Linked DNA regions of Mytilus edulis. The protein of the gene in region 2 purifies or fractionates together with the protein of the main gene of each other region. This does not show direct contact. Links are inferred from orthologs where the notes say so. Each region holds a gene or a part of one and is shown on either strand. Other genes may lie near its edges. The genes, in order: T-complex protein 1 subunit gamma-like, transcription factor Sox-2-like, BAG family molecular chaperone regulator 2-like and dnaJ homolog subfamily A member 2-like.

Region 1 (7,676 bases), on a different chromosome or scaffold from region 2:
ATGACTAACAAATAGAATTTGACTAATTCATGAAGGCATTGGTGCACATACATGTACTAAGACTTCTAACATCCAAACAAATGGGAAGCAACTCTCGTGCAATTTCTGTCAAACAAAAAATATCCATAACAAATGAACCCAATAATATCAGAATTAACAGTAGCAATTTATATCAAATCTTTGGTAAAATTATACGAACTTGGGCAAACTTAAATGTTTAGGTAGCAATACAGTTAGGAAAAAAACTTAAAATTGACACTCATAATTTTAAACACCCTCTTTCCCCTCCTGTCTAGCAAATGAGGCTTAATACTTGTGTTATGCATGTATATATTTATAGAAAGAGAATCTTCCATAGATTTGATTTCTTATGGTCAAAATGGTAAAATATAATACCTTTTGGGTATAACCATGGCAACAATCTGCATTTCTTTGATAAAAAATATAGCAAAAAAGGGGGGTGAACATGTCACAATAGTCTCCAAAATTTGGTCCATAGGAAAATTTCAATCAATTACAGTGATACCTTCCCTGAAACCATAGGTTTATATCTATTAAGTGGTCCAAAAAAAATCATATGCATTTCTGCCTGATTTTCCACAAAATTGAATTGAAAAGATCGAGTGCAAAATCTTTGTTGATAAACACTACGATAATTTATGGACCTATGGGCAGTACAGATAGGAAAATACAGACTGTCAAACAGATAAATGGCCTATAAAACATGCTAAAAACAATCTAAATGTTCATATAAACCCTATAAGAAGGCTATATTGTTCTTCAATTATCTAAAAGTCAATTTTATTGTACAAAAACTTTCATATTTAAAAGATTCACCATGGCCATAATGTGAAACTAAACTTGGATCTCCTGTAGTTGGTGATCGCAATACTGGTATACCAGTATTGTCCACAATACTGGTATAAAAATTTTGTACCAGTATTGTAACTTTTTTTAAAAAAACAGCAATACTGATACATTACTGATATACCAGTATTGTAGTTGTATTGTTGACTATATACTTTAAGGTGTATAATGAAAATTGAATTTTAAGCAAAATTAGATATTGAAGATCAAAGGGAGATTAAATGAATTCAAAAAGATTATAGAGGATAATTGGGAAATCAATTAACAACCAGTTAAATATAGATTCTACCACTGCATCGAGTGTAATACGATATTTATCCACTCGAGACAGTTAAATTTTCAAATTTAAAACGCGAGGCTTGCCCGAGCGTTTTAAATATTTAAAATTTAACTGTCGAGAGTGGATAAATATCGTATTACGCGAGATTTGGTGGTGAAATCTGTTTCTCTAATGATTTCCTAACATTATGCATGCAAACTTATTCCTTCTATTCGAATGATCTGCAAAAAGATGTGTTCTTTCTATGTGACGTCATCAGGCATGGTCGCCTTTTTTCATGCCGTCACAATAGGAAAGCAAAAAAATTCGACGTCATAATCAGATTTAAACCAATGAAGTACTGAGATCAAACGAACCACACGTTGATTAAATTTTTTTTATACAATAGAAAGGGATAAATTGACGAAGAATTAGAGAAAAATAAGTACAATACTTGTACAAATCAACAAAAGATTATTGTAATTAACTCATATTATTCAACAATTGTTAGTTATATAAATAATTGCTAAAAATCTTATATTTCTATATTTTATTTAATTCAATTCAGCATTTACATGTATGCCATCGTATATTTTTTTACAGATATATTTTAATACATATAAATGCTGAATTGAATTACATAAAATATAGAAATACTGGTACAAATACTCAAATACTAATACTGGACAAGCACTCCTACAGTAAGAGAGCTGACAGGTGCTACATGTATCTAAATAAGCTTGTAACCTAGTAAGCCTAAGAGAAAGTGCATAGACTGAAATACATTAATATCAAAATAGGAAGTGGGGTGGCATAAATGCCATCTGAAGAAGAAATAAACAGTACCAACGTGAATGTGATAATACATGAAGCTTTTCATGTATAACAGTATTAAAGTCAATATAAAATTCACTAAAATATACTTTTGTCTTGGAAAGAGAGAGCTGGAGACATTGAAGAAAGCAAAGAGTTTGTTAATATGCTGAGACAGTAGTACTGAGTACAGATACCATCGACGATACCTTGAATGACTGAATAACACTGTTAATTTCCAAATAACACTTGAAATTTTAATATTAGCACATATTATTGGTGACTTTTTTTAAAACATTGAATATTAAATAATATTATATTATAAACATGATAAATATAATTTATAAGTTAAACATCCAATCATTCCATTTAAAATTGTCATGTCATATGCATTATGCATATATATGTGACACCTTTCATAAAAGATTAATTACCTACAAATGTATATGTATTGTTTATTTAAAAAAAAACCACAATACTGGTACAATACTGGTACAAAAATGGACAATACTGGTTTACCAGTATTGCGATCACCAACTACAGGAGATCCCTAAACTTCTGTGTATAATTTGCTACCTTATCCTTCAGGACGGATAAACCTGGATTGGAACAGAACACCCCCCTTTTTTCAAGTTTTTGCCAGTAAAGTAATTTTCCATTCAATTTTTGGAATGTTATCTCAGTAATTTGTCATAATTATATGAAGAAAATTTACAAAAATATAGACAAAATGTAACCAATAGTGCAGTTACAGAAAAAAGGTGAATTTTCTGGAACATTCTTATTTTGATATGGCTATGGCGACGACCATGTGAAGACATGTTCATACCTTTCCTGCAGCAATGTTGCCTTTCTGTACAACCTTGCCGGTTTCCCGCTTGGTGTTTTGGTCTGTAATATAAATAAAAAGGATTATCAGTTGAATGATTGAAATTTTATTCGATAATAGGGCGTCGCGATACAAAATATTAGAAACTTACTGAGTACGATTATTCCAGACATGCTTTTTGTTTAGCCGGAAATCAAGTGGCGACTCAATAAATGAAGTCCGATAACTCGGAATTTCCCGCCACTTTAGCAACACTTTAAAACATTTTTTATCAGCACTGCACTAAGAATTCATGTTTTAACTTTTAAATTTTATTTGATAATTTCAATTTTTTATTTTTTTTCTCTGAAAGGATTTTTTTTAACATGGAGTGAATTGTTTAGGGTCTGGATGGGGTCAGTTCTCGAGGGTCAGACAGTTACACTGAGAAAAGACAATAAAAGGTCAATTCTACAGAAAATGGATAAAAAAAATATTGAAGAATAATAGTGTGCTTAAATATAGGGAATAATTGGTAAAGTTTATCAAAATTAAAAATTAAACGGCCGAAAAAAATACTCGGACAGAGCTGATACTACTATGATATGTACTATATGTACATGTAATATAAGTGACTTCGTTTTTTATCGGATATTTTTCAACCGATTTCAACATTGATAGTAAAAAAATATTCTATCATGAAGAACGTTGAAAGTAAATGATATGAAACTCCGAAATCTTATATTAATTTATAGGACTACCATTCCAGACCCTCGCTATTCAGTCATATAGATTTACACTGACAATATACTGAATTTATTAGGTATTTGCTTTTTAAAATGACAAATAAAAACCCAAGGCATTGAAGAAGAAACAGCAATTCTTTTTTCATATATAATCATATATAAAATATGTATTTATTGTTAACTTGTTCTCGTCCTGAACATGCATGAAATATTTGCCACTGGACGTTGAACAACTCGACTGAAAAATCAATCAATCAATCAATCATAACGATCGGCACACTTTGATTGTCAACGGAATAACGCATGCATTATATCCACTGCAGTGAGTGATCCAGGGGAGGGTTCAGGGGGTTGGAAGTTTGGAACCCCCTTTTTTGGACGATTAATGCATTTGAATGGGGACATATGCATGGTTGGAAACCCCTCCTCCTTCTACTGGGCTGAACCCCCTTTTAAAATGGCTGGATCCGCCGCTGCACTGCATAACACAACTACTTATAATCTGTTCCTCTCATTTATTTACCAATAATAGCTAATATTTCATAACACAAAGTATATATGTACGACTCGAAACTCGGTGTGCGATGGGGACGCTGAGGCTCGATCGATGGTCACGGTGAAGTGCGATGGTCCGTTCGCTGATGTGCAATACACCTTATCGCTAATCCCGGCTGACCCGGCCGCTTGAACTTTTGACGCACACAACAATCACTTTTCCATTGTGAAGTCAGATATTTTGCTTTATGACGTCAACATTTAACGGGAACCTGTGCAATTTCCATTAATGGCGGACAGATAGCGACAAGGTGTATGGTCTATATGCCGCTTTGTTTGAAATATACAGATCTAGACGTGTTAATATTCATTTGTTTTATAGATATATATGGTATATGAATTGTGTATGCATGTCCTTAGTTACATATGCATTCTAAATCACTCTCCGTATTCCGTAGTTTATTGGCCCCTTATTAATTAAGAAACCCGAAAAACTGCCGCTCTACAGCAACACAAAATGTATCGTCGACCTAAAGCAAACAAACTTCCTTCTTCCAGTGACGCATTGAAATCAAACGTTAATTTGTTATTGTTTGTAACCAAATTGATTTTTCGATTTTATTCAGATATCTGCAGACGATTTCCGTCCAAAACGTTTCGAAACCACAAACATATAAGAACTTTAAACTGACAGTCTTTGAAATTGAAAATTACGAATTAAAATTTGAACGTGGCCAAATTTTGATGAGGATGAGACGTTACTAAGTTGTAAAACTTGTGTCCGATCCATTCGTTATTTTGAACAATAAAATATGTTTAAACTAAACGAAAGTGTAGAAGAAAAACTATGCATATTTAATTTTGCTAAAATCAATAAAGCGAAACTGAATTCCATTTTATCTTTGATTGCCCTTTGTATACATGCATATATATTGAATGTCGTACGTATTTTGGTGAACTTTTAATTGAGGAAAATTTCTCAGATTCGAATCACACTGAAAAATTGAACTTTTCAATGACTTTTCACTAAAGAAAATGAGCAAAAATATATAGTTCGGACAATTCCCATAAGACGTCATGTGCAGTTGTGGCTTTAAATACCAATTTAACACCTTACAAAAGAGTTGTTATAATTTTCGACGAGTACGATCACACACACATACGCACTTATCATCAACTCAAATCAAATATTTTATTATTCCAATCAAGGTCCAACAGAGGGCATTTACAATTAACAACTATGATAGTTTAAGCAACAACCATAAGACATTATACAGTATTTAAAACTACCCGTTCAACTGAACCAATTAAGAGCCTAAACGCAAATAAAGAAAAAATGAAAAATGGTAAAAAGCTCTTCCTTGTTCTATATGACATAAGCGTTCATCGAGTTCCAACCAAAATGAGAAGAATCTGTTTTACGTTGTTTATTTTGATTTTAGTCTAGGCTAGCACACATCCACAGAAACCACACGAGTATCTCAGATAGTTTAATTATAAGCATGGCAGGGCCGTAACTACCTATGAGGGAGGGGAGGGAACTGCCTCCCCTGAATTTTCTACACCAATTTTTTTTTATTGAAGTAATAAAATGAAATATTGACAATGAGAACTTGAATTTATATTTTAAACAACACAAGTTTACAGTTTTAACAGTGTTATCATGATACGTGATATATTTGTCCTTTTTCTGGATTTTTGATCGAAAGTGAACCGTTTCAGTATTTATTTTTTGGTTTTTTTTTCGTGTGGCCGTCCGTCTGTTATTCAGTATTCGTACGAGATCACATATGAACTTTGCTTCCGACAATTTTGAATAAAACTTAACTATTCACATTTATTTAGGGGCTCAATTAAGCAGAGAAAGTTCCCTTTGAATTGTGAATTCTTTTATGATATCGGAAATTCGTCACCAGCTGAATCAGATGTTGGGTGATTTTTTTAACTGCGTCTCCCGATCGTACGAGAACATTATGGTCAATGCCTTATTAGTTAAACAATCCCATTCGTTGTAGCAGTGACTTTCTATAGTAAGTATATATAATACTAGACTGTATTGAAAGTCCCTGGTTTTAGTTATATACATGTCTGTTCAGCTTTCAACAATATAGAAATTCAAGGTCCTCGATAAAAAAAAATTATCTTGCGTTCTATGATCTTGCTTTATATGTTTTTTTTAACTTACTAGTTTGATTTCTAACAAAAGTATCTTTAAATACAGATAATAATTATTTGCATAAAAATTGCTTCCAGGATCCACAATTACTGATGTTTCTTAAAGTAAGGAGATCGAAGGAAAACGGGTCATTTTTAGCCATATTGAGAAAAAGAATCCGCGGTCACAATGTATTTAATGTTAATAATTATAGGCCAAAGTACGGCCTTCTAACGGAGCCTTGGCTTACCCCGAACAGAAATCTCAGGTTGTTTTTGCATACAAATTGTTTCCAGGTTCAAGCAATACCGATGTTACTTAAAGTAAGGAAATCCAAGGAACACGGGTCATTTTGAGCCATTTTACTGAGAGAGAAAAACGGCAGGGGGCTGTGTCCCCAAACCCCCTGTCTTTGGGATCTCAATCGGCGGTCCCCAAACCTCTGCCTCCCCTGAATTCGAACCCTAATTACGGCCCTGCATGGTACCTTTGAAAACTATGATAACCAAATGATAGCCCTTCCATGTTTTCAAGCAATTTCTGTTTAAAACAATGTCATAAAACTATGAAAATTTACAATTTAAACGTGAGAAAACTATATTGACATATATAACTATGACAATATCATATACAGGTACTTATTTCATATATGACTAAATAATTACATTATAGACAAAATTATGACAATGTACATATCATATAGTCTACACTATGACAATGTCATATAATTTGAAACAATGTCAAAACTTGTTCAAGCATCAAACACGTCAACCTTTAAAAGGTAAGATAACAAAAATCCCAAAATCCGAGCGAAATTCTAAACGGAAATTCCCTTAGCAAATGTCAAAATGAAAAGCTCAAACACATCAAACGAATTGATAACAACTGAATTGAAGGCTAAATCAATAGACTATAACGCCAGTTTGCCAAACCTTTAAGTTAAAATTTCTTCTTAACGGCCTTTAGTGAACAACATCCAACCCCTCAAAAAAGCAAGATGGCATCGAGTATTTAGGGTAAATAGTTCCTATGGACGAATACTGTTACATGTAATGCAGTACAAGCTAATCTTTATTTGTCACCTAAATATGTTTCAATGACATTTTTGTATAATTTCTGTATTGTACCTTCGATATTCATTCACTTAGATACACGGAATTAACTGAAACTCGTAAATCGATACGTTTCCTTAAAAATCAACATTAGCTTGTACTGCATTACATATAACAGGATTCGTCCATACCAATTTTGAACAAATACAGTCATCTAGCAGGCCTCAAGATTTTTTGGAAAATTTAGTGTCACCACAAAAACCGGTTTGGCCACAACATAACAATTTCAAGTTTGTTTACATGTATGTATATGTTAAGTATGTTCAAATAAACATATGTTCCCACAGTTAAGGACTTTATTCATCTTAGGTTGAGAAATAGAGGCAAAGTTTTGATGTTTATGCAGTGTCCTATTTTTTTACTTTAGTTGAACCTTCATGACACTCGTCGTGGTGAAGAAAGGCGATGTAATGATAGCTGT
Region 2 (7,383 bases):
ATGTTTTTTTACATCTTGGCACCAGGTGTGAAATCTGACATTGGTGTACATGTCTCGATATAAATCGCAACGCTGCAAGAAAAACTGTCACCGTGTGCATGTAAACTGATACTCTAGAACTAATCAGTTTATTTTTTTGATTTTTTTTTAACACGGTAGAATTTACTATGCCATGAGAGTGAAGCTTGCATAAGAGCAACCGTGTTTACATCAGGAAACAAGTCCCAGAATTTCCGTATAAAATAATCACTTTCATGCATATAGTGGACATCAGTAAAGCGATATGATGCATTTGGTTTATAATTACCCTAGAGATGTTGAAAATTAAATTTAAGAATGTTCAAAACTTTAGTTTATTTTGTTGATCCAAGATGGCGACGATAAATTTGCTGGCTTAACCTTTTACGTAGTATTTCACGGACGACTGCTTTGCTTTGTATCTATTTGGAAAAATACTTAACTATGTTTGTACATGTCATTACAGAAGCGTTTAAATTTCTTCTTTCTGTCTAGAATATTTGTTAAATATAAGCCATTTTTGAATTTGAACATACAAAAGTACTCTTCTATTTTGATACTTTCGTTGAAGATAAGACCTTACATTTCAATACATTTGTTAAAATGTTATCATTCTATCAAAAAGTACACTTATAATACACACTTTAAAATATATGTGATTTGAAAAAAGTTCACCATCTAAGGGTTGTGTATAAATCTTATAAGCTATTTATATTTAGTACTCTCATACCAAAATAGAGCAAATTTATATATATAAAAAAAAATATAGGGCTATCAGTTATTGAAAGAATTCTATATTTACTGCGTTAATTTTTGTAAACTTAAAATATTTGTAAAAGACATTTTCGTATATATTTTTTTTTTACAAATTGTGTATATATATATATATATATATATAAATGTTTAATCCCGTGAGCAATGCATTACCCGGTACAGAGAAAAACACATTTTTATAAGTTTTACATCAGTTTTCGTTAATGAATGTATATTGTATTTATATTAAAAAGAAGTCTGCCAGATATGAGGCAATTTTGAAATAATTAAGCATATCTTAATTAATTCGCGACAACTGTCTATACTATATATGAGTATTATTTTCTGGAAGTAATTTTTGATTCTTGGCAATAATTTTCAGATGTTTAATAATTATGTAAACAACTCGGACCCGTGTCATGTAACTTTTCGGTGTACATTTTGTTTTATCAGAACAATCAAGCAATCGTTTGAACAGAAAAACTTAATTAGATTCCAATCTCAGATTTGTCACCTTGTTTATATGAGAACCACTGGAAGGTAGAAAAATAGTGTAAAATAAAGAGAAAAAATGCCGTTAGTTGTGAATGATAATTTAGTTCTTTTCTACTTCCAATTAAATTGTACCTCACACCTATGAAAATAGACATATACTCTACGACCTGGAATTCAATTAATTTTCACCCTGTTTGTTTCCTGTCATTCATTAATTTGATAATTGAAGGAACTTTTTACCTTAATTTTCCGGGGGGTTCCTACCGAGATGTACCCGTTAATTAGACTAAATCAATTAATCGCATCCGCTTTCTACTATTGTCATATATAATTCCATTTTCACTTTCCGTTTATATGACAAAACGAGGATGTCAAGCGATTATCACTGAAAATAAAGATTATTTGGCTTGGCACATACATCAAGATGTCGCCAATTTATAAAATTCAAACTTAAAAATCAAAAAAGAAATGGAACTGTTTTGATATGGCCGATCATATATTAATCCTCAATATACACGATTCACATTGTACCTTCATATTACACGATTAGAAAATAATATGTCGCAGTAATATTTAAATAAATTCCACACTCTCCATAGCAATAATTTTAAAGCTTCTAAAGGAAGCAAGAAACAAAAAACAAAACCAGAAGAAAAACAACTTCTTTGATTCAAATACAATGTGCTTCTTTAATATATAAGGAGAATTTTAGGGGGAAAATGAAGTAAACGGACGAAAAAGTTAGAAGTATGAATTTTAATTGATATAATTAATCTAAATGATATTGAATAGTCTAGATAATAATTAAATAAGTATCATATTCATATAATGCATGTCACTGGAAAAAACCATCCGCCTCTAATCAAATAACTACATAGGTTAGATGATAAACTAAGGGAAAACTCATTTAGAATGAACAAATGAATAAAATACTGCTTCTGGGAAAATCATAGTGTTTTAAGAATTATGAAATATCGTTTAAACAGAATTACAGTATAGGTTAAATTATGATGATCATTTGGTATTTTCTGTTATTACAAATTTATGACATACAAGTATTTCCAGGTTTAACAACACCAAAAGTAGATGAAAACTGATCGGTTGTGTTTTATTATTTATTTTACCTCTTTTCTAACAAATCAAAATAAATTAAAGTTGTTTTTATGATTATTCCAAAATAAAACTTTACGATTGTTTAAATGTTGTTAAATTTAGATTGTTTTTGATTTAATGAAAAATACCAAGATTGTCACGAAAAACAATAAAATCTTGTATTTGACACTACCTATAATACTAAAATTAAGGTCCAATTCTTCAGGTGTGGAATGTATTACACAGTTTATACTTATTGCCGATTCTTTGATCTCAATTTTCACATATGAAAAGGAAAAGTTTCTCAGCTGACTCACTTTTAGTTGACCGAAGTAATTAACGAACATTGTGTTTAGATCCCCCATTTCTTTATATCTCGTTGACAACGCACGATGCCTAGGATTTAAGAACAATGTAAAGGATAAAACCCTTAATCCTCTGCTTTCTCTACTTGGCGATGGGGGTAAATTTCATAAACTATTGATAAAACTATTCTATAACACGTGCAAATGTTTGTTTCAACTTATTCTTACTTACCATATACAGCTGAATTATTTATATAGCAAATACAAAGTAGAAATAAAGTCAAAATATAATATTTGATAAATATTTTAGGATTATATTTTGAAGTTTCATTTTCTTATGTTTACCCCTATAAATGCAGAACTCTTATTGCAAATATTTCATTTTTGTTACGTTTACCCCAATATATGCAGAACTCTTATTGCAAACATTTCTTTTTTGTTATGTTTTACCACAATATATACGGAACTCTTATTGCAAACATTACATTTTTGTTATGTTTTACCACAATATATGCGGAACTGTTATTGCAAATATTTCATTTTTGTTAAGTTTTACCCCAATATATGCGGAACTCTTATTGCAAACATTTCATTTTTGTTATGTTTTACCACAATATATGTGGTACTCTTATTGCAAACATTTCATTTTCGTATGTTTTATCTGAATATATGTGGTACTCTTATTGCAAACAATTAAGATCAAAGCTGGTACGCATTTCAACAAGTAGATCATAACACACACGTCCTAAACTAAGGTAAAAAGCCCGTGTAAATGTTTATATTTTTAAATGTGGGTCAATTCCTTAATTTTTAATTGTATCATTGTCCTCACGGCCAAGGTCAGAGTAGAACTAGACGTTTTTGATTCCTCTTTTGACCAAATTACAATGGCCATTCAATGTTCTATTGTTTGCCTTTCTCAATACTATAGATATAAAATACAATACAAAAATGTAATTGAAACCTTTTATAACATGTATACAAATGTATATCAAAAGAAATAAATACTTTATCCCTTTTACTCTTATATAAAGAGTTACTTTTGTATACATCGAATGATATTTATATTTGCGGGCAATTAAACACGCTGTTTATAAAAGCAGTAAACAAATTTACCGTTACCGTCTTTAAATGAATAGAACAATTCCAAAGAAAGAGAAATCTGTTACAAAATATTTAAAAAGCAGGTAAGAGATTTTTTTTTGCATGTAGAAATTTGAAAAATTGCAGCTTTTAGTGATAATACTATATCTTTTAAAAAGAGGTCAGTTGGCCGTAATTTGGAAAGAAACCAGAGATGTTTTTAACAAATGTAAAGTCACGCGTATAGCAGCATTTCTGTTTGTGATGTTTGTGATGTTTGTTACATTATGAATTATACAGGACATTATACAATAATGTTAGAATGGTGGTTACAGATGTAACAACATGTTAAAAGATTTACTTATAGAAATGATAAAAACCTAGGTTTAGTCTGCCATGCATGGCTTTGTTTTGGTTAGATGCTACACACATAAGACTTGTCAATGTTTCTCCCGTACTGGTAAAAAATATCTACGTTTTAGTAGAATCGCTTCTGTCTTTTATATCATTTGTTAGATTTTTAAGTTACAGATTTGAAACAAATTTACAAATTTAGGGGTCTGAGGTTTATGGCACATACTGCGCAAGTCCCCTTCGTTCTAAAATAGAGATAATAATGATAATAATAAAACAATAATGTGAATGATAATAAATTAAAAAAAAGATGTTTGTTTATGTTTTCAAAAAAGTTTATCGTAAACAGTGGACCTGATTTGATTCTGCAAAACTTTGGGGGGGGGGGATCAAATTTACACTACTGTCTTAATTCAACGGTGGTTGAGTTAACCATATTAATTTATAGTGGTTTGGGGAAAAAGTTATTGAAACTTATATAAATCCCTTCCCACTTTGCGGGTGCAAGTGCTGCCTTGTTGCGACATAGCCTGCTCTATTCTGAAATCTACAACGCTGGTTTTGCCTCCATATCACTGAAAATTTAAATAAACAACAAAATAACAAAACAAATTCAATGCAATTCTTTTTTTAAAATTTGTTATTTTTTTTTCTAGTCTGTTTAATTGTCTTTCATTTTATACTGTATAGATAACATGCTTCTCCGCCACCCGTCCGCAAGAGCTTCCAACACGCTTCTGGGTAAGAATAAGATGATGTTTATTTTCTATCAATCAGGGCGCAAAATACAATAAGAATTCAAATCTAGATTCTTCATAATAAATTAGTATTTTATAATCAGATGCTGATTTTTTTTTTTACATCAATACTAACTGCTGAAATTTTAATTATCGACAGATAAGCTGTTAGTCCTTGCTTGCTATAAAAGTGTCTGTATCGCCAACTGAAGTGAGATTTCTTATTAAAGAGTCTCTGCCCCCCTTTTTATCTCGGTTTTCAATTTGAAACCATAAAACTATAATTAGAAGAAAAAGGGCTCTTTTCATTATTTATTTTATCATTATGAATTTTTTTTTAATATAATGACATTGGACAGAGATTGGACTGTTGTACTATTTCAGGTCCACGTTTAAATGCGTTAGAAAAAATACAATTATTCCCAAATCATTACACAAAATTTTATTATTTTTTTAATGAGTAACTTGAATTTTATATTTATTAAAATATTTTGAAATGTAATGAAATATAAAAATAACAACACCTGTAAAAAAAATTCTAACGGATAATTTTTCATCTGCATGTCAATATTAGACCATGCCCACTTTTCACGACATGAGCGATTCTCAACATGATTGAATTCACTCAATTGTTTGGATACGACAATAAACTTTACCTGCGAAGTCCCGCCCACTTTTTAATATTACCGTGAATAACTCGCCAAAACCAAGAAAGAACTAATTTGATTGGACGGGGCAGTGTCTATTTTTCACTGACGAATCGATATCCCTTGTTTAGTAAACCGTATTAGCCAAAAGAATAAGAAGAAGTCGAAATTATAAGACCTGTTTTATAGTTTGGTAGTGAAAGCCGTATTGAGATTTATCATTTATTGGACTTGAACTTATTCAAAAGCTATTGACTATCTTCAGTTATTATAATCAGTGTATTGGACTTGTATAAAGCACGTGGAACACTGTTCAAATTTTATAGTATGGATAGTGACTTATCTAAACAGGGACCAACTACAACTTTACCACCAGCATCACAAGGAATGCATGTGCCAGTTACTGGAGGTATGAACATGCATCAACATCCATCGCAACAACAAGTACATTCTCCTCCATCTCCGGACATGAATGGACAACACAACAATAACAACAATGGTCTTGGTAACAAGAAAGCTGACGATCGTGTGAAAAGGCCCATGAACGCTTTTATGGTGTGGTCTCGTGGTCAGCGAAGGAAAATGGCCCAGGAAAATCCTAAAATGCATAATTCTGAAATTAGTAAGAGACTTGGTGCTGAATGGAAATTGTTATCCGAATCCGAAAAGCGTCCGTTCATAGATGAAGCTAAACGTCTTCGAGCAATTCACATGAAGGATCATCCTGATTACAAGTACAGACCGCGCAGGAAAACAAAGACCCTCATGAAGAAAGACAAGTACGCTTTACCCGGTATGCCCGGCAGTGGAGGACAGCTGCAGTCTGATCCAAACAGAATGTATCCCGGAATGAATGGATATATGCCGAATGGATATCCTATGAACATGATGCACGATCCAAATGCCTATCATATGGCAAATCAAATGGGACTAGCTCAGTATGGCAATTATTCTATTCCAGCTCAACAAATGTCTGCTAATCAGATGACATCCGCATCATATATGAATGGGACCTCAAACTACACAATGTCCGTAGGAATGAATCCGTATTCTATGTCTCCATCACAGGTTCCTCCGTCCGTAAAAAGGGAACCAAATCAACCACAAGTTCCAGGACAACCCCGTCAAGCAGGAGATTTACGGGAAATGATTAGTATGTATTTACCGGGAGATGCCAACGATCCAAATAGTGCCGCTGCTCACCATAGACTTATGCAACAACATTATCAGCAAACGGCGTCATCGGAAGCTGCAGGGGTAAATAACACTGTGCCACTGACACATATGTAATATTTTCTGTTTTTTTAATTTGTTTTACAAATTTGTGCTGCGAGAGAAAACATTATATTTCCCATTATATATATATTGTTTATCATTTTTACATTGTTGAATGAATGAACGTCGAAATCCATGACATTTGTAAGACTGTATAGCATGTTTGAAAAGCAGACAAATCGAATGAGACGAGCGCGTGCGTGTGTGAATGTTTATTTGAGTTATATGGTGCGAATTTTGCAAAAAAAATGTGCTGAAATTATTGAAAATAGATCTATATAATTTTATTACAATCATTACAGAAGTGAACAACTTATTTATACACGAACTGTTGAAACGAGATAATTTTGTAGAATATATTTAGCATAATAAGTCGGATTCGAAATTCGCCAAACAAATTTAGGGAAATTTTCCACACATATATATATTTGCTCACGGTAAATTCAATTTTCTTGAAGTAGGTTTGTAAGTATGATTAGATTTTGTTTTGTTTATGTATTAAATCGTGGTAATGTTCCGTATATATTTTTATGTTTAAAATTTAATTTTTAAATATATTTCAACTTTATGTGGCTCTAGGTTTATATGGTAAAATGATTTTGTTTGAACTAAACCAAACTACTT
Region 3 (7,660 bases), on a different chromosome or scaffold from region 2:
TCTCTTCAGAAAAAAATATTGTTTTAAGAAAACTTATATCTAACACTGCTTTAGAATAAACAAAAAGAATCATTGGCGGATCCCTTTTTTTTGGCCGATCAATGCATTTGAATGGGGACATATAGTTGGAACCCCCCCTTTATCCTGTGTTGGGACCCCCCCCCCCCCCCCCCTTTTTAAAATGGCTGGATCCGCACCTGAAAATTCAAAAAGATTTATAAATTTCAAAATTAAAGCATATATACATGTATATATATTATAGACTTTAATATATATATATATACCGGTATATATATGTCTATTCAATGCAGTGTACAATGTACTTAAGATAAATATATGTATAGTCTTTTTTTTTCTTCACTGTGAATACCACTGTCACTCTAATATAATTGTAATCAATTTAACTATATTGTCAGTTCATTGTCTTCATTTTGTATGCCATAACCATTTAATGTAAATGTGTTTGTGCTAATAAATATTGCCTATTGTCTTAAGATGTTAATGTTTAGTACCGGTATTTGTTCCAAAGAAATAAAAGGATGGTCAACGTTTTCTGGGGAACTTCTGCTAGTACTAAAGGAAGGACAAATATCTGTTAAGTATTTAAGTAAATGCTGTCATAAGGCTGCATACTAGGATTTGCAGGAAAAGCCACCAAAATGAATGGCTACATTCTATATACATGGTATACATATGTACTAATGTATGTATAAATGTTTAAATTATCATTGCTACATGTACATGTATGTTCATTAAATAATTTTGTGTTCATAATGATATACATTTTTTTTTCAAATATGAAAACCGAGTTATACAGGGTAATGAAGAGAGGAGTGTCCATGTATCCTGATGCTATATTATAATACACACAATTTGCAAAGAATTTGAAAGATGTTAAAATCTGTGGCTAACATTGAAAAGTTATTTTATGGTTACCGTTCATTTCTGTATGAAATTGGGTCATCCTTCAAAATACATATATACAGTTTGTGGCAATTGTCTCATTAGTCATTTGTTAATGTAAAAAATTATTGCGTATTGTTACTGCATGTACTTTTTGCGGGTAACTAAGTCCAAATAATTATGAGGTCAGGCAAGGCTATTTTAATTTTTTTCTGGGACGCATTCCTACGTAGGAAACGTAAGAAGGCGTCCCAGAAATTTTTTTAAATAGCCTTGCCAGATGTTATAATTATTTGGACTACGTGACAGGTAACTGTACCCAGGGGCAGTGCCATATTTATCATTTTTTATAGGGCTTCTGTACAATTAACGGTAAATATGGTCCAAAGGAGAGTTTTTAAGGTTCATCATAACAAATGGACAGTTATGGCTGTATTTTCACCTCAAAAACTACTCTGTGTGCAGACTTACCTGTGCTGTTTGGAAAGTTTTAAGGCCTAGCATCCACTAGATATATAAATGTTAAATGCATTTTGTGTTTAAAAAAGATAAAATTTTCTTGGTTTGGTGGGCAATTTTTTTCCTTTCTGCAGAAGGTGTAAAAATAACAAACACCTGAATTACTTTATGATACTGTCCACTCAGATAAACTCTTTAACTCACTTATAGCAGTGTATAGTTGTGAAGATACCTATTTTTCATGTCAATTAAGGACAATCAAAACAATACATTCATGGGCACAATTTAGAACTGGTGGACTCAGCAAAATATCTAGGCGTCACAATCCACAAAACTATTAATTGGAACACCCACATAAAGAGTATAGCTAAAAAGGCTAATTCAACCAGGGCCTTCATCCAAAGAAATCTTCAGCACTGTCCCCAACAAACAAAAGCTGTATGCTTCACAACGCTAGTAAGACCATTGCTTGAGTATGCATGCTCAGTCTGGGACCCGTTCACCAACCTTAACATACAGAAATTTGAAAGTGTGCAAAGAAGATCAGACCGTTATGTATTGAACAACTACCAACAAACCAGCAGTGTAACATCAATGCTAAAAACTCTATAGTGGCAACAACTAGGGGAGAGGAAGGCCAACTGCAAAGCAGTAATGATGTACAGGATAGTAAATGGCCTTGTAGCAATACCAACGCTAGAGCTACATGTACACACTATGTATCATCCGTAGCAAGAGGACACACAACACGATTTTTCATACCCTATGCCAGAACTTCAACATACAGGCATTCCTTCTTTCCAGACAGCATATAGATATGGAACAGCCTCCCACAACCTTTGGTAGACAGTACAAAAATGTACATCACTAGATGCTTTCAAGCAGGGGGTACTGAGCGGCAGTATCCCTTAATCATTGTTAATCGCACCATCAGACCATCTTGCACCTGTAAATATTTTCTTGCACCTTTGTTGTCACACCCAGCATGGGCAATAATGCGATAATACTCAATTAGAGGACTGCACTGTATTGGACATGTTGGAAGAAGAAGAATACAAACCAGGTTTTACCTGAGCGAGCATCTCAAAGTTGTACCACAACTTAGTTAACTGGTTAATTTTCACACCTAATGCATGAAGGAAAAAAATGACCATCAAATTCCAAAAGAGATTTTATCTTTCTGCAGAACAAAATGCATTTAACTTTAATATATCTAGTGAATGCCGGGCATTAAAACTTTTCCAACTTCACGGGTAAGTCTTTACTCAGAGTAGTTTTTGGCATGTAAATACAGCCATATTTGTCCGTTTGTTATGATGAACACACACACACTCTTCTATAGGTTCCAAGATATGTTGTTTACCAGTTGAAATTTCTAGGTTGAGATCATTGTCCTGTATTTTTTGGAGAGTTGCTAGTATTGTTTCTCTTTCTTGTTCCATTGCAATAGCCTGTTCTCTCAATTTTTCAACCCTCCTTTCCACATCATCCATTAAATTACTTAAGTATGATTCCGAATTTTCAGATATTTGATCAAATCCTGGGTATTCAATACTAAGAAGTTTTTCTTTAGCTGCCATATTGTCTTTTTAACTAGAAAGTGAAAACAACAAACAGAACAGTTTTTAATTTCCGTACATTTTAAAAGACCGGTACGTAGTATGATTAGAAGTTTTTACTTACTTCCTGTCGACAGAGTTAGAATATCCCCCGATTCTACCACGAAGAACCACAATAAGCACCACGGACTTTATCAGTAAAATAAATACATTTGGGCAACTATGAGTTATTTAATGTATACGTAGATATTAAGATACATCAAATAATCATTAAATGAAAAGTTAAAATAAAAATAATTTAAATCGATTTTTTTTTTAATATGAACTTCATTAATCAAGGATTTGTATAGTCTAACTATATATACAAATCCTTGCAGTAATTAAGCACCACAAAAAAACAAACTGAACACCACGGGACGTAATTTCCCTCCCAATGGTCCAACAGACGGGTTAAAGAGTCTAAAATACTCTTTGGGGTCCAACTTGGTTTGTAAGGCCCATTGGTCCATATGCACCTGGGGTTCAATCTATATATCTATGGGGTCTTTTAGGGTATATTTCATTAAAAAAAAATATAAGCACCACCGAAAACGGACTTAGCACCACGGGAGGTAGCTTCCCTCCCATTGGTCCAACAGACAAGTATATGGGTTTATAACACTCTTTGTGAGTCCTAGTTGGTTTGTAGGGCTCATTGGTCCACACGCACCTTTGTTCCAATCTACAAGTCCATGGGGTCCTTTAGGGTATATTTGATTAAAGAAAAATATAAGCACCACCGAAATAAAACTTAGGACCACGGGAGGTAGCTTCCCTCCAATTGGTCCAACTGACGTGTATAGGGGTCTAAAGCACTCTATTAGGGTCAAAGATGGTTTGTTAAGCTCATTAGTCCACAGGCACATATGTTCCAATCTACACAAGTCCTGGGGTCTTTTGGTGTATATATCATTTAAGAAAAATATAAGCACCACCAAAAATGGACTTAGCACCACGGGAGGTGGTTTCACACCAATTGGTCCAACTGACGTGTATAGGGGGTTAAAGCACTCTATTGGTGTCTAAGATGGTTTGTTAAGCTCATTAGTCCACAGGCACATATGGTCCAATCTACACAAGTCCTGTGGTCTTTGGTGTATATATCATTTAAGAAAAATATAAGCACCACAGAAAAAAAACTTAGCACCACGGGAGGTAGCTTCCCTCCAATTGGTCCAACTGACGTGAATAGGGGTCTAAAGCACTCTATTGAGATCTAAGATGGTTTGTAAGGCCCATTGGTCCATATGCACCTGCGGTTCAATCTATAAGTCTATGGGTTTTTTTAGGGTATATTTCATTAAAAAAAATATAAGCACCACCGAAAACGGACTTTGCACCACGGGAGATAGCTTCCCTCCCATTGGTCCAACAGACAAGTATATGGGTGTATAACACTCTTTGTGAGTCCTAGTTGGTTTGTAGGGCTCATTGGTCCACATGCACATTGGTTCCAATCTACAAGTCCATGGGGTCCTTTAGGATATATTTGATTAAACAAAAAATATAAGCACCAGCGAAATAAAACTTAGCACCACGGGAGGTAGCTTCCCTCCAATTGGTCCAACTGACATGTATAGGGGTCTAAAGCACTCTATTAGGGTCAAAGATGGTTTGTTAAGCTCATAAGTCCACAGGCACATATGTTCCAATCAACACAAGTCCTTGGGTCTTTTGTTGTATATATCATTTAATAAAAATATAAGCACCACAGAACAAAAACTTAGCACCACGGGAGGTAGCTTCCCTCCCATTGGTCCAACAGACAAGTATATGGGTGTATAACACTCTTTGTGAGTCCTAGTTGGTTTGTAGGGCTCATTGGTCACATGCACCTTGGTTCCAATCTACAAGTCCATGGGGTCCTTTAGGGTATATTTGATTAAAGAAAAATATAAGCACCACCGAAATAAAACTTAGCACCACGGGAGGTAGCTTCCCTCCAATTGGTGCAACTGACGTGTATAGGGGTCTAAAGCACTCTATAGGGGTCTAAGATGATTTGTTAAGCTCATTAGTCCACAGGCACATATGGTCCAATCTACACAAGTCCTGGGGTCTTTTGGTGTATATCATTTGAGAAAAATATAAGCACCACCAAAAATGGACTTAGCACCACGGGAGGTAGCTTCCCTCCAATTGGTCCAACTGACGTGTATAGGTGTCTAAAGCACTCTATTGGGGTCTAAGATGATTTGTTAAGCTCATTAGTCCACAGGCACATATGGTCCAATCTACACAAGTCCTGGGGTCTTTTGGTGTATATCATTTGAGAAAAATATAAGCACCACAGAACAAAAACTTAGCACCACGTGAGGTAGCTTCCCTCCAATTGGTCCAACTGACGTGTATAGGGGTCTAAAGCACTCTATTGGGATCTAAGATGGTTTGTTAAGCTCATTAGTCCACAGGCACATATGGTCCAATCTACACAGGTCCTGGGGTCTTTTGGTGTATATATCATTTAAGAAAAATATAAGCACCACCAAAAATGGACTTAGCACCACGGGAGGTGGTTTCACACCAATTGTTCCAACTGACGTGTATAGGGGTTTAAAGCACTCTATTGTGGTCTAAGATGGTTTGTTAAGCTCATTAGTCCACAGGCACATATGGTCCAATCTACACAGGTCCTGGGGTCTTTTGGTGTATATATCATTTAAGAAAAATATAAGCACCACCAAAAATGGACTTAGCACCACGGGAGGTGGTTTCACACCAATTGGTCCAACTGACGTGTATAGGGGTTTAAAGCACTCTATTGTGGTCTAAGATGGTTTGTAAAGCTCATTAGTCCACAGGCACATATGGTCCAATCTACACAAGTCCTGTGGTCTTTTGGTGTATATATCATTTAAGAAAAATATAAGCACCACAGAACAAAAACTTAGCACCACAGGAGATAGCTTCCCTCCAATTGGTCCAACTGACGTGTATAGGGGTTTAAAGTACTCTATCGGGGTCTAAGATGGTTTGTTAAGCTCATTAGTCCACAGGCACATATGGTCCAATCTACACAAGTCCTGGGGTCTTTTGGTGTATATATCATTTGAGAAAAATATAAGCACCACAGATTTTTTTTTTAGCACCACGGGAGGTAGCTTCCCTCCAATTGGTCCAACTGACGTGTATAGGGGTCTAAAGCACTCTATTGGGGTCTAAGATGGTTTGGTAAGCTCATTAGTCTACAGGCACATATGGTCTAATCTACACAAGTCCTTGGATCTTTTGGTGTATATATCATTTTAGAAAAATATAAGCACCACAGAAAAAAAACTTAGCACCACGGGAGGTAGCTTCCTTCCAATTGGTCCAACTGACGTGTTTAGGGGTCTAAAGCACTCTATTGTGGTCTAAGATGGTTTGTTAAGCTCATTAGTCCACAGGCACATATAGTCCAATCTACACCAGTCCTGGGGTCTTTTGGTGTATATATCATTTAAGAAAAATATAAGCACCATTGAAAATGGACTTAGCACCACGGGGGGTGGTTTAACACCCATTGGTCCAACAAACGGTTAAAAGGATCTATAATGCTCTTTTGGGGGTCTAACTTGGTTTGTTAGGCTCATTAGTCCATATGCACCTGGGGTTCAATCTATAAATCCATGGGGTCTTTTAGGGTATATTTCATTAAAGAAAATATAAGCACCAGCGAAAACGGACTAAGCACCACGGGAGGTTGCTTCCCTCCCATTGGTCCAACAAACGAGTAAAAGGTTCTAAAATACTCTTATGGGGTCTAACTTGGTTTGTAAGTCTCATTGGTCCACATGCACCTTGGGTCCACTCTACATGTCCATTGGGTCATTAAGGGTATATTTCATTAAAGAAAAATATAAGCACCACCGAAAATGGACTTAGCACCACAGGAGGTGGATTCCCTCCTATTTGTCCAATAGACTAGTATATGGGTTTATAAAACTCTTTGTGAGTCCAAGTTGGTTTGTATGGCTCATTGGTCCACATACACTTGTGGTTCAACTTCCAACTCATTATGGTGCTTTAGGATATATTACATTAAATACAGATATAAGCACCATCAAAAACGAACGAAGCACCACGGGAGGTGGCTGGCCTCCCATTGGTCCAACAAACGGGTAAAATGGTCTAAAATATTCTTATGGGGTATAACTTGGTTTGTAAGGCTCATTGGTCAACATGCACCTGGGGTCCACTCTACATGTACATGGGGTCCTTTTGGGTATATTTCAATAAACAAAAATATAAGCACCACCGAAAATGGACTTAGCACCACAGGGGTAGCTTCCCTCCCATTGGTCCAACAAACAGATAAGGGGTTTTAAAATACTCTTTGGGGTCTAACTTGGATTGTAAGGCCCCTTGGTCCATATGCACATGGGGTTCAATCTATAAGTCCATTGGGTCTTTTAGGGTATATTTCATTGAAGAAGAGAAAAGCACCACCAAAAACGAATTTAGCACCACAGGAAGAAGTTATCCTTTAATTGATATAAGATAATAGGCCCAGGGTCTAAAGCACTCAAGCATGGTCCACCAGCTTTTCTAGAATAGTCTACAAGTTAAAGAAATCCACCCATCTCATCTATTTATAAGCACCACCAAAAGGAAATAAGCACCATGGTTAGGAGCTAGCCTCCAATAGGTCTACGCCTCAATGTCAATGGTCTTAAGCGATCAGTTTGGGACTAATCTGATAAACACACCATATAGGTCCA
Region 4 (7,132 bases), on a different chromosome or scaffold from region 2:
AAATTAATACATTTTGATTCACCGTTTACGTGACAGGAAACAAAACAGGAAACCAATCTTTATTTTCTTTATTTTGCACAATATATTTCAAAAGACATAAATGAACACCATTACTAGTGTTACTTGCTTCATGTTAATATTTAAAATCTATTTTCAATGTTAAATTAAAGTTTTTTTTAAACGCGACAGGAAACCATAAGAAACCGAAAGCATTTTTTTAGTTTTATTTTATTGCAAAATCTGCTTAAAATGATCTGAACAGTATACTTTTTCTTAAAATCCATCTTAAATGTAACAGTATTATAAAACTCCTAAATATGTGCTTGTTTTGAAAACAATTAGTACAATTTATTCAGGAATTTCCGTATTTTCTTCATTGATACAGGATACCATAATCGTTGTATCTTGATGTTTTAGCCAAAAAAATGTATTTATATTTGGTTTTGAAATTCCAGTTATATACAATTTATTCCAAATCATTGGTAATGTAAAATTCTTTAAATCCAGTAAAGAAAACAACTTTTAACTTGGAATTAGCATCTTTAAAATAGGCACCATGTGATATTTGTGACCTGTACACCATCTACATGGTTTCCACATTTTAACCTACTTTAGTGGGCTAAAATCAATAAAGTACTTCCTTTCAAGTAATGCATGGTAAAAGTTTACTTTTCCTTTGACAAGTTTATTGCGTTTCTGATAAGTGTTTGCAGAACATGAATAAAAAAAATTAATTAAAAATTGTGACAAAGATACCAACTTTGTACATTCCAAGTGTAACGGTACATTAACATGTATTTTTTATTAAATTATCTTTATTCACCTAAAATATCCAGTAATATTTACTGTTGAAGCTAAATCAATCCAACGAACATTGGCACCATGATAGGAGACGTAATTTCGATTGAATTTTCCAAGGACCCTTCACATCGTTATTGGGAAACGAAGTGTGTTAAAACGTCGGTCAAATCTGAAATCGATTTTGTCAAGTCATTGGGCATTTATTTTCACACAAGATCGTATGTAACATTATGCACATGGGAAAAATAATAGACCCCCGGCGCAATCTCTTTGAAAATTGTATTTTCCTTTTTTAAACAAGACGAAACAAGCCTACAGATTATGTTTGCTTACATCCCGTTGGAAACAAATACAATGTTTAGACCTAGTATTTCGTATATCCGGCTGTAAGGGCGTGATCACATGTTAGTCACATGTTTCACGTATGACCGGAAATGATTAGAACTTAACGACAAAAACAATTTTAATAAATAAATGGACTTCTGTTTCGTGTGAAATGTAACGCATAACGATAACGTCATTTTCTAACTTAATTATTACGAAGAACAAAACAAGAATGTAAATCATCTCTGATTTACCTGTTTGAACATCTCGCGAGAGTTCGTATTAGCATATTGTTGCAAAGAATTCTTTTACAACAAAGCAGATTAAACCATCTAAAATGTGCGTTACGAAATGGGAAACCAAAATAACGACAGTGTTCTTACACCTGCTACAGAAATACTTATAGTTCTCGGCATTTTCTTCTCACTATTCTTATTGGTCGATGTTCTTTGTTATTTTAAAGCAAAAATTACGAATTTGCCGGTGACGATTATCTATAAATTAGTCAGCGTTATGCACTTCGGACGCGAAAAGTAACGCGAGAAACGACACACAAATACGGTCGTATAATCTTTGAAATTTGTTAATTTCAATTTTTTTTCTAGGGAAGAGTAGCATACACTTGTATGTTGATAAAAATAATGGCATCTTTAGATGTAGTTACAACTTTTCTTACAGTAATTCACATTTTATCACTTTTCTATAGTTATAGGAAACGGAGCCCAATAGCAAATTATGGTCCATATCTCTTACCTTTTCTTATAGCTACATTGCATTCGGAACCCATATGTAAAACTGGTAACCAACAAGAATGTGTCCAAGGTACACGAATGCCCCACTCGGCACTATCATTTTCCATGTTCAATGGACCGTGAAATTGGATAAAAAATATAATTAGGCATTAAAATTAGAAAGATAATATCATAGGGAACATGTGTACTAAGTTTCAAGTTGATTGGACTTCAACTTCATTAAAAACTACCTTGACCAAAAACTTTAACCTGAAGCGGGACAGACAGACGAACGAACGGACAGACAGACGTACAAACGGACGCACAGACCAGAAAACATAATGCCCCTCTACTATCGTAGGTGGGGCATAAAAACAGGAAAGCAGTTTAGTCAAACGGAGTTATAGAAACATAGCGAAAGACAACGCAGATGGCGCTGTATTTTCACTTCCGTGAATGGAGGTTCAAATGGACGACAATTGTAGAACAAAATCAGTAAAACAAGACACAAAACCTCCGCAGACCTATTTAAACGTTGAGAAAAATATCTCATGAATCTAAGGATGTACTTTTTATGAAAAGTAAGTGAGTTTTTATATGAAATTTTTATCGATTTCCTGACCTGATCCTCCAAAGTGAAAGTAGGTCAGTCATCGAAGGTAATTACCTTCTTCTTTTTTCACTTGGGGCTCGTATGGATAGTAAAAAAGTTATTGCAATCGACTAGCAATGGATTGTTGAGACTTGATACATTTTTAGAAAATTGAAAATAAATAAAAAAACACCAATTTTTTTTTAGAGAGGTCCAAAAAAGGGGGGTCCATGCCCCAAATACCTGTGGGTAATACATATAGTTTAATTTATCATTGTGCAAGTTCAAACCATGGAACGTTCTAATTTTCTTACTGAAATCCTGAGTCACCATCCGCCTTTGAAAGTGACAAAATTCATATTTGAAATTAGTCAGGTACAGATAAGGCGTAAGGATTGACATATACTATTGCTTTTTCATTGATACCTTTTTGATTTCATTGTCTTGGGCAGATCTACTGACGCCTAAAATGTCGTATAATTTTGAGTCTGCCATTTTCACGAGGTTCGATGATCAAGCACTGCCACCTATGACAGGAACTAGCGGTTGCTACATTAAGGGGAAATAATATTTCCCGCGTTTGAAGTCTCTTTCCTCCAATCTTTTGAAGTTTTTTAAAATACATGTACTGGAAATTTTGTAATAGACAATGTCAACAGTGGCGGATCCAGAAATGTTCATAAGGTGGTACCCACTGACTGCCTAAGATTGGGCCCGCTCCAGTCATGCTTCGGTGATTCCCTATATAATTTCCTATATAACCGATCAATTTTTTCACACAAAAAGGCCCCCCCCCCCCTTTTGTGTGAAAAAATTGGTATGAAAAACTCTCTTAATCAAACTTATAATATCTTTTGCATTGAACACTCTGACTTGAATATAATTTTAAGAAATAATGCCCTTACTCTATATGAATTTTAAAAAGTCTATTATAAAGGCTGGACGAATTAAATGGTGTAATCAAGACTGTGCTCGCGGCAATACATCCGTACGACCGAGATACAACAGGATACATTAATGGACAAAGAAGTTAATAACTATAATTCGGATATACTCTTTTTCAGTGGTGACACAAAAAGACGATTCTCAAATTTAAATGTGTTTTTCTTTTTTTCTTCAATTTAGCTAATATTCATGATGAATTTGAATTTTTTTTCAGTGCTACTGAGACAGGGACTTTTAATACTATATGTTAGTATAGAAAGTCCCTGACTGAGAAGACAAAATCACAATGATTTGTCATTTATTCTGACAGAGACACATACTATATACTAATTGTATTATATGTCTCTGATTCTGATTTCTATATTTTATTTTTAGTTTTAACGATTTTTTTTTATTTTAACAATTAAACTTCTATTCAAAGTTCCAGGAAAAAACATGAACATATCAGCAAAAGCACTGACGTACAATGAGTATTACGAACGATTTTTGTTTATGAACATAGTATGTGATGGCTAAGGTTTGTTATCCAGAAACTTGGCCAGCATCACGAATTAGTCAATTGAATATCGATTGTACATTATAATCCTGACTTGGTTAACTCAAGTGTACTATCGTTAACGTAGATATATGTTAAACTTGGCAAACCAAAAAACCCCACACATTGTCATAAATGATCATAAATCAGCCGAACCGAAAGCATCAAGAAACGCAACAATGAAGTTTGGTTTTCCGAACATCTTTGTCATTCTCAGTAATAGCGTATGCACGATCGATATGTGTTATCAGTTACCGCTGTAAGCATTCAGATAGCGAGCTCAGGTTACTAAAATTTTTTACTTCAAAAATGGGTCCGACTTGTCAAAATGAATGAGCACTGATGCACCAGTATCATTATTTACACTAGAGATATATATGTCTCTGTTTACACCAAGCGTGACATTGATAATAAGTTCGTTTAAAATTTTGCAAGCAGATCTCAACGAAGATGAAGTTGGAATCAATTTTATAAATCAAGAGTTACCATTACATGTACTTGTCTCTAAAAAAAAGTTATCTTTTTTTTTGTCAAATTTCATGCATTCTTTTTAAAAGCTTCATTCGGCTGGTTTTTAGACTTATACCTCGAATTTGACATAAGAAGTCATCTCAGTATCAGAATCTATGACAAGCGAGACGATTTTAATCTTGAAATTATCAATTTTCCCAACCTTAGTGGCAAAATACCAACTTCACCTGCATATAGGATATACATTCCCAAACTCATTCGGTATTCTAGAGTTTGCATGTTATTGTGCGCTGGTCATTTTTTTGTATTCTCGTCTTTTATATTTGCTAATATGCCTTGTATATATATGTATGTCATTTTGTTTTTCTTTGTTGACATTTTTTAAAATAATTAAGATTATAACACAATTTTTAATATCCATTTTTAGATGGTGACGCTAACCTATGTCACCATCTTATGGTGTTTATATTTCTCAACATGAAACGAATGACTTGTGAAAAATTACCAATGCATGTAGTAAATCATAAACTTAGTCTTCTGTGCACGATTTTAACATTTCTTACGCCAAAATATCGTATAATCGTCAACTTTTTTTCTCTCTGTTTGTTATGATTTAACAAATATGTCAGCTTATTAATCGCCGTGTTTTGAAGACGTAGTTTACCGATTGTCACCTTATAGTAAACAATCATGGGAACAAAGAAGTATGGATATTGAGAACGTGTATAACATTTACAATCAGATCATAGATTATTTCAATGACAGATCCATGCGTATTGCGATCACCGGGTTTTTACTAGGAGGGTCACGCTAAGGTCACTTGCATATGCGAAAAATATTTCGGCGAATTGCTTCCTAAAAGCAAGCAATTGTAAAAAAAGAAAACTTCTTCTAAATGTGGACAAATTAAAGAATTTTCTTCAAAAAAAGTATATGTACATAAGTTTTATAATGAAAACTATCCATTTAGTTATAAAAAAAATATGCATATTTTTTTCTTTAATTTGCGGTTTCACATGACTTTAATTGTTCGGTTTGCTCGTGTATGTAACAACGTATTAGATTTTAACGAAAGAAATCCTTGAATTACGGAAAAATTATTAAATTTGTGGTTTTCAATATCACAAACTAGTCAAAACATTTACTTAATTTTTCATTGTACTGAAGAAAAATACCCAAGATAACAATGGATACATAAATTAAGTATGCTACTATAGCAGTTACTGACATATTGCTTATTTTTTTTTGCCAAGTTACCTATTCTTACATCGGACTAGGACTTATTTTAAACTGAGCTTTACTGTACGTATTGCTGTGTGTTTCTTTATTCTACATTTGAGAGAGTTAATATCTCATAAAACATGTTTAACCCCGCCACATTTTTTAGCCCGTCCCAAGTCAGGAGCCTGGCCATTGTTAGTCTTGTATGTTTTTTTTTAAATTTTAGTCAATTTATATGTTTTGGAGTTGAGTGTGACGTCCATTTTCAGCCACATTATGTATGTATGTGCCTGTCCCAAGTCAGGAGCCTGTATTTCAGTGGTTGTCGTGTGTTCATGTGTTACATATTTGTGTTTCGTTAATGTTTTTATATAAATAAGGCCGTTAGTTTTCTCGTTTGAATTGTTTTACATTGTCATTTCGGGGCCTTTTATATATGCGGTATTGGCTTTGCTCATTGTTGAAGGCCGTACGGTGTCATTTTTATCTCTTGTGGAGAATTGTCTCATTAGCAATCATACCACATCTTCTTTTTTTTTATATATATTGTACACATTTATAGTTAGGAGTCAGCTGCAGCTCACCTAAGTGTACAGGATTTTCTCGCTGTGTTGAAGACCCATTGGTTGCCTCCCCCTGTTATCTACTCTTTGGTAGGGTTGTTGTCTGTTTGACATATTCCTCATTTCCGTTCTCAATTTTATAGTGTACCCTTATTTTTGACATGTTTATCAATTATTGAGCCTTTCATTTTGTCAATTGATATCTTGGCCTTCTCATTTTGAATTCTCAATGGATTTCGGTATTTTTTTATTTTACTTTTCTATTGCATCTGTATATGTTATATTATATACAGTAATATAGTTGAGAAAAAAGAATTAGAGACAAGTAAGTGCCTGTGATCTTTCTTTGTAATTCCTTCAGGCCTATTGATGGATTAAACAAATGGTTTTGTTCAAAAATTTCTGGAGAATCCCCTGCACATGGCCTAGGACTATAATTAAGTTACTATAGTAGTATAATATTCCCAAACATGGCATTCCAGATTAACCAACTATGGGTTCACCGGCTTTTGGACGGAAAAGACACGTTTGAAAAAAAAAATTCCATTTGAGATAACGAATTACGATTTATATTCAGATCCCGAAAATCGCCACGATTGATTAATAATTCTATGCTTCATAAAATGTATATCTTCTGCTTTAGATTTATCTCCCTTTAGCCGTAGAGTCTAGAGATCTATATAAATTATTACACATTTTATTTCCTGTATTTAGTTTACAGCATAATTTTTTCAATGTTGTTCTCAAAATATAACAAGGTTTTCTCATATATATGCATTTAAAGACTTGCCAGATATCTAATATTAAATTTTTGATGGCCTTATTAAAAAAATACTAATTTACTATAGAAACCTATTGGACATGTATTGTTTGACAAAAGCTTCGGGCGAATATTATCGGCTTTGTATGAGTATCTGAAAATTATGTTATACAATTTCAGTTACCAACT

What was found.
Region 1: the proteins of transcription factor Sox-2-like (region 2) and T-complex protein 1 subunit gamma-like purify together in Homo sapiens (affinity purification with mass spectrometry; 3 studies listed by BioGRID and IntAct, with this or other methods). This does not show direct contact. The link is inferred for Mytilus edulis from reciprocal best matches to the Homo sapiens genes SOX2 and CCT3.
Region 3: the proteins of transcription factor Sox-2-like (region 2) and BAG family molecular chaperone regulator 2-like purify together in Homo sapiens (affinity purification with mass spectrometry; 3 studies listed by BioGRID and IntAct, with this or other methods). This does not show direct contact. The link is inferred for Mytilus edulis from reciprocal best matches to the Homo sapiens genes SOX2 and BAG2.
Region 4: the proteins of transcription factor Sox-2-like (region 2) and dnaJ homolog subfamily A member 2-like purify together in Homo sapiens (affinity purification with mass spectrometry; 3 studies listed by BioGRID and IntAct, with this or other methods). This does not show direct contact. The link is inferred for Mytilus edulis from reciprocal best matches to the Homo sapiens genes SOX2 and DNAJA2.

What each region holds. Positions count from the first base shown.
Region 1 is NC_092347.1:37,354,388-37,362,063, forward strand, and holds the start of T-complex protein 1 subunit gamma-like, read right to left. Parts: upstream 3,016-7,676; 5' UTR 2,942-3,015; coding exon 2,920-2,941; intron 2,831-2,919; coding exon 2,769-2,830; intron 1-2,768. UniProt on the Homo sapiens protein: Component of the chaperonin-containing T-complex (TRiC), a molecular chaperone complex that assists the folding of actin, tubulin and other proteins upon ATP hydrolysis.
Region 2 is NC_092346.1:79,535,765-79,543,147, forward strand, and holds the start of transcription factor Sox-2-like, read left to right. Parts: upstream 1-4,368; 5' UTR 4,369-5,811; coding exon 5,812-6,774; 3' UTR 6,775-7,383. UniProt on the Homo sapiens protein: Transcription factor that forms a trimeric complex with OCT4 on DNA and controls the expression of a number of genes involved in embryonic development such as YES1, FGF4, UTF1 and ZFP206. Binds to the proximal enhancer region of NANOG.
Region 3 is NC_092344.1:97,260,619-97,268,278, forward strand, and holds the start of BAG family molecular chaperone regulator 2-like, read right to left. Parts: upstream 3,021-7,660; 5' UTR 2,943-3,020; coding exon 2,726-2,942; intron 1-2,725. UniProt on the Homo sapiens protein: Co-chaperone for HSP70 and HSC70 chaperone proteins. Acts as a nucleotide-exchange factor (NEF) promoting the release of ADP from the HSP70 and HSC70 proteins thereby triggering client/substrate protein release.
Region 4 is NC_092348.1:49,350,870-49,358,001, forward strand, and holds the start of dnaJ homolog subfamily A member 2-like, read right to left. Parts: upstream 3,023-7,132; 5' UTR 2,944-3,022; coding exon 2,875-2,943; intron 1-2,874. UniProt on the Homo sapiens protein: Co-chaperone of Hsc70. Stimulates ATP hydrolysis and the folding of unfolded proteins mediated by HSPA1A/B (in vitro).